Linked DNA regions of Yarrowia lipolytica. The protein of the gene in region 2 interacts with the protein of the main gene of each other region in a biochemical or structural test. Links are inferred from orthologs where the notes say so. Each region holds a gene or a part of one and is shown on either strand. Other genes may lie near its edges.

Evidence for each region.
Region 1: of the proteins of YALI1_E33220g (region 2) and YALI1_B29539g, one has a biochemical effect on the other in vitro, tested with the Saccharomyces cerevisiae proteins (3 studies listed by BioGRID, with this or other methods). The link is inferred for Yarrowia lipolytica from reciprocal best matches to the Saccharomyces cerevisiae genes AOS1 and UBC9.

What each region holds. Positions count from the first base shown.
Region 1 is NC_090771.1:2,952,982-2,955,819, forward strand, and holds YALI1_B29539g (uncharacterized protein), read right to left. Parts: upstream 1,037-2,838; coding exon 993-1,036; intron 937-992; coding exon 501-936; downstream 1-500. Other genes in the region: YALI1_B29548g (uncharacterized protein), read left to right, coding at 1,835-2,809. UniProt on the Saccharomyces cerevisiae protein: E2 ubiquitin-like--protein ligase mediating SUMO/Smt3 attachment to septins and PCNA. Seems to be involved in degradation of S- (CLB5) and M-phase cyclins (CLB2).
Region 2 is NC_090774.1:3,320,463-3,323,633, forward strand, and holds YALI1_E33220g (uncharacterized protein), read right to left. Parts: upstream 1,551-3,171; coding exon 501-1,550; downstream 1-500. Other genes in the region: YALI1_E33150g (uncharacterized protein), read left to right, coding at 1-289; YALI1_E33234g (uncharacterized protein), read left to right, coding at 2,970-3,171. UniProt on the Saccharomyces cerevisiae protein: Could be involved in a ubiquitin-related process important for DNA damage tolerance.

The DNA.
Region 1 (2,838 bases), on a different chromosome or scaffold from region 2:
GGGTTTTTGAGCGGTATTTCTGTCCACTATGAAGTGAAGCCGTCATATCCCCCTGGTTACATCCCCTCGTGTAGCTATAGCTGTGTACTTGATATATGTTCCTGCACATTTTTCCGACATTAACAGCAAACCATATCCTCAAATTTGTATGACAAGCAACGGATAAACCCAACCTCCATGCCCACACGTTGAGTCAACTGAGTCACGCTTACAGAGCTCCACGAAAATGAACCCATGGAGCTGACTAATGAAAAATGGCTTAACTTTGGGGCTGTCATAACCACCAAACATTGGACAGGAGGGAGAAAAAAAATACATCTATTGACTAAAACATGCGAAAACCGCTGACCCACAAGCGTCACGCATACATATGTTATATTTAATGTTTAGTCGCGTGAGGGTGGATCAGCTCATCTCGGCCCTTGGATCCTCCTTCAAGACTCCAGTTCTAAAGTCCTCCAGCATCGCGTAATGCATTAATACGAACGCCGAGTATCACTCTAAGCAGCGTACTTTTTGACCTGCTCGGCCACCCGCTTATCGTACTCCTCCTTGTTCTTCTGGAAGGCGGCAAATGCATCGTTCTGGGCGGGAGAGTGGGGGTTGGGGTTGTTCATGAGCTCCTGGATACCCATGACAATCTCAGACAGCGTGATGGAAGGTCGCCAGTCCTCCTCCTCGTTCAGAATTGACAGACAGACGGTGCCCGAGGGGTAGACGTTGGGGTGATAGAACCCAGCATCAAATCGGCATCGTGGGGGTTTGGTCGGGTAGTCTTTGGGGAAGGTGATGAGCATGGGGTATGTGGCACCGGCCCAGGCGGTTCCTTCCTTTCCGGGGATGCCGGCGTTCCAGTTAGTGAGATCCAGGTTTCCGTTCTGGTCCTTGGCGGGCTTAGCAAAGAAGCCAAACGGATGTGACTTTCGCCAGGTTTTCCTGAGTTAGTTAAAACGGGGCGTCTAGGTGAATAAAGATTGGTCTTTGTAACTCACCGCTCTTCCATGAGTCGCTTCTGCATCAACGAGTCTTCCGACATTTTTGCTGGTTGTGTCTTGTGTGTGGTGTGTGTGGAGAATGCGATGTGATGATGTCTCCTAAAGAGGTTTTGTTTGTGGCCGACTATCTCCATAGTAACGTAGCTAACTTTCAGCACTCGGTTCGAGTCCTATGTGGGTATGGAAGTGAGGTGTTTTTATTATTCACGTGGGAGAGTCCAATCATAGAATTATTTACTTCATTTGGCGTATATTCTACGGAAAACCTACGCCCAAGATATTTGTTGGTGGTTTGGCTGGATTACTGACTTTCAATATTACTAAGCGTCAAGCCTCTCCCAGAAGGATCTACACCTATCAGAGCTCATTTAATGAAGATGTGGAACAAGTACGAGTACAAAAAATTGTCCTAACTAAGAGACCTTCTTGAAGCATCTTTTTCATTCATGATCCTTTGCATTCCGAGACCCCCTTGTTCCAAAGACACAAATTTGCACACTCAAGGGCCCTCTTTCTACAGCGAGACAGCTTGACTGACACTTGCCCCACGCCCCTAACCCGTACCCCACACACACGTTTGTGCCAAAAAATAGAAGCCAGAAGAGGAGGAAGTGGAGGAAGAATTTTCCATTGAATATTCCGTGGTATTAATTACCACTACTTCATTAATTACACCTGTCTCACCTCCTTGGTCCAAATCTAACCACTCAGACGGCTGATGATCATAGACTCCCCCTGCACACCCCACCTTGTGAAAGAAACTAAGTTGACCAACACCTTGATTTCCATCGTGTTCGCTTCTTAACCACACCCCCACACAGTTCACACCCACAAAAACAATGTCACACGAAGAAGATCTTGATGACCTCGATGACTTTCTCGACGAGTTCGACGAGCAGGTGCTGAGCAAGCCTCCTGGAGCTCAGAAGGATGCTACCCCTACTACATCTACTGCTCCTACCACTGCCGAGGCTAAGCCTGATGCCACTAAGAAGAGCACCGAAACTTCCGGGACCGATTCAAAGACTGAGGGAGCCGATACTGCTGACAAGAATGCGGCCACTGACTCTGCGGAGGCCGGTGCGGAGAAGGTTTCTCTGCCCAACCTCGAGGATCAGCTCGCTGGGCTCAAGATGGACGACTTCCTTAAGGACATCGAGGCAGACCCCGAGTCCAAGGCCCAGTTTGAGTCTCTGCTCAAGGAGATCAACAACGTTACCAGCGCCACCGCATCCGAAAAGGCCCAGCAGCCCAAGTCATTCAAAGAGACCATTTCCGCCACTGCTGACCGTTTGAACCAGAGTAACCAGGAGATGGGGGACATGCCCCTTGGTGACGACATGCTCGCTGGCCTCATGGAGCAGCTGTCGGGTGCTGGAGGCTTTGGAGAGGGCGGGGAAGGCGACTTTGGAGATATGTTAGGAGGAATCATGCGTCAGCTGGCCTCCAAGGAGGTTCTGTACCAGCCGTTGAAGGAGATGCACGACAACTACCCTAAGTGGTGGGACGAGCACGGATCCAAGGTGACCGAGGAGAAGGAGCGAGACCGACTTAAGCTGCAGCAGGACATTGTTGGCAAAATCTGTGCCAAGTTTGAGGACCCCTCTTACTCTGACGACTCCGAAGCCGACCGAGCCGTCATCACCCAGCTGATGGACGAGATGCAGGAGACCGGTGCTCCTCCGGATGAGATCATGTCCAATGTTGCCGACGGTAGCATTCCTGGCGGTCTCGATGGTCTTGGACTGGGAGGTCTTGGTGGCGGTAAGATGCCCGAGATGCCCGAGAACATGCCCGAGTGCAACCAGCAGTAAGTGATAGATTATATAGGCGAGTGATGAAG
Region 2 (3,171 bases):
CACTCAGACCCAGGCTTACCGATGGTTCGAGGAACTGTCTGTCAAGGCTTTCCTGGCTTGTCGACCTCATGCTGAGACCATCATCCAGCTGGTTCTGCCCATGTTGGATTCTGGACTTCCCTGTTTCAAGGAGCATACCATTCGAAACTTGCGACGGCGATTTGTTCTGGAGAAGACTGAAGCTCAGGCCGCCACTCACTTCCGAGGACTCATCAAGAAGTCCATCGAGTCTTTCTACACCAAGGGCTACGACGAGTTCCAGCGAATCACAAACGGTATTCCTTATTAAGCGGATTTGTTTTTCAACGGATGTATGTACTACATTGTAGTCGGAGGATCTTATGTGGGTTAATATTATTATGTGAATGATTGTTATTGTGTTTGTAAGTACAGTATGTACTTGTAGATCTGAATCAATGTTTACTACGGTTGCGTTCCAAGAAGCTAGCATCAACAATATATTACATCATCCAATACAGAAAACCAAACTGTCAACTGCATTACAACCTGTAGATCGGACTTTCTCCGTTGATTCCATCAAAGACGTAAAAGTTGTCGATGGGAATCTGTGATCGGGCCAGATAATTGAGCACCTCCTGAGCAATACCTCCTCCCATGATCGATGCAGTTGTGGCAATCTCTGCGTCCTTGCTAGTGAGCACCTGTTGTGCCAGTTCCTCAGAAATGATTCCCAGAGGCAGCTGCAGCTTCGAACACTGCTCCACACCCAGCTCGTGGAACTCCTTTGCACTCAAATCGCCCCACGACTTTCCGGGGTTTGTCTGTTCGTACTCCCAGCCTGTAAACAGAAGAGGCACGTATCCGGGGATTCGAGACTTGTGCTTAGGTCGCATGTGAGCAAAGGGCTTCGGCGTCTGAACAGCCTCGAGCACCTGCTTGAACGGCTTAAAGCTCTGCTTGAGAGAAGCACTGTAGTTTCCAGTCTCTAACTCAACTGTCCCCACCAAGGTAGCCTGCTCAGGGATGCTCATGGTCGAGGGCTTGTTGGGAGTCTCAATTTTGTAAGTATACTCTCTGAAATCAATGAAGGCGTAGGAGAAGAGACCAGAGATGCCCACGCAGATGTTAGTGGTGTCTGTCTCTTCACACAGGGTTGTAATGTGCACAATCTCCTTCAGAGTGGCCTGGGTGATAACCACGAGGTCGAACTTGCCCACAAATTCCTTGTCCAGGTCCAAAATGACCTTGTCCACCGTCTCCACGGTAACGTGTCGATTCAGCTGTGAGATTCGAGGCAGGGCAGATTCTCCTCGGTTTTTGTTCTCGTCGCCCTCCTGCACGAAAAACTGTGCTCCAAAGTCGGCATCAGAGGTGACGTGCGCATCCACGATAGTCAACGAGCCGATACCTGCGAGCACCAGGTCCTTGACGATTTCGTTGGCGACTGCCCCGATGTTGATGAGTAGGATCTTGGAGTTACGCATCCGCGCCTGCGATTCCATGCCCCACAGTCGAATCTGCCGGTCATAAAGTGCCACCTCGTCGGCCGAGATCGTGTTTTCCGTCTTGCCCACGCTGGTTTCCGTCATTGCTGGTGTTGAAAGGTGCAATTGAGATCAGGAAACTCAAACGCGTTGTGATAATATGCAGGATAATGAGTGAAGGTCTGAGATGTCAGAGGTGAATCAGGGTTGTGCGGAGGAGTCGGACGAGAAGAATAATGAGAGGTTATCTGCGAAGTTATGCCTAATGATACTGTAAGACTACAATACAATATAGTGTATAGGAGTTCATGGTGCCATCTTGGGCAATGTGCTCTTTTCAACGCTTGTAGTTGATTTGGAATTCATTGTAAATTTACTGTAGTTTCAACGGCCCAGTAGAGAGCACGGATTCGATGTTCCAGTTACTTCTGGAGTTCTCATCAGTCTTGATAATAAAACGACACCAGTCTTTCCCACTGCTGCTTATAGTATAATGGTCTCAATAATTTGTCTCATCCATAACTGATAGACACGAATTGATAGTCCTGCGTGTGGTGTAACAATCTTCCTCAGTCTCAGGGTTCAATGTATGTAAACGAGAAATGGACCCCAAACCTGTAGAAACGATATTATTCCCCACAACAATCCTAGTGTCTGGTCTCGTTCAGTAGCTCTTGATCTCTCTGTTGCAGTGCTCCTGACAAACGTATCACAATGCATGATTACTAAGCATGCGATTTCTATGTGCTTGTGGAATGAGAGATACAAGTACCAGCACTTCTACAGTACAAGTACAAGTACAAGAGAATGTATTTATTTTTATACACGCTAAAATTGCTATCAATGGATGGATCAAACAGCACAGCAAATATAGGCCTTCCCTGAAGGTCACGTTAGCTACTACAAGTAATACAACAACCACACCACATACTGTATTATACTCTCTACAGTATTTGCCCAGTCCTATTAGCACACACTAAAGACGCTTACAAGTGACCAACACGTAATTTCACACCAGTGCCTGTACACACGATGGCCTATGTAGTTTATCAAGATATAGATTACTAAGCAGATGATTGCGGTGTTACGAGCAGGGTGACTGAAATACCATTACTTGTACAAGAAATCTATCCGATATCTGGCATTTCTGGAGGTCAAAAACGTGACATTCTTGCTGATATGAAAATCACCGTCGTTTCTTACACCCCACAGAAAAACAGAGGATAAGGGCAACCAACTTAATGGTACGTAAGCTTCCCTACAGCAGGTGGGATGTATACTTCAAAAACGTGAAATATGGCTCTCGAATGAGCTGAAATTTGGACATAATCTTAGAAATTCCATTTCAAGCCCTCCACGTGAATTTTACACCTCGATCACCACTCCTACGCGAATTTGAACGTTGTCAAATACTGACGACCACGAGCCAAACCTTAACTTGACGCAGACACTCTCTCACCACTTCATCTCTTCCTCACGACATTCTGATCTCTATCTGCATCAAGTCCCCTGACACCTACTAAAATGGACATTGGAAAAATTCTGGACGTGACGCCGGAGCCGATTCTCTCGACAGATGCGGTGATCAACGCTGCTTCCGACAACCGCAGCATGGATTACTGTCTGCCAGTCCAGATGGCCGAGTTCCAACGAGAACTGACGGACCAGGTGGTCAACCTGCATTATTCTGACATTCTGCGGTTCTACGACACAATCAGTCCGACAC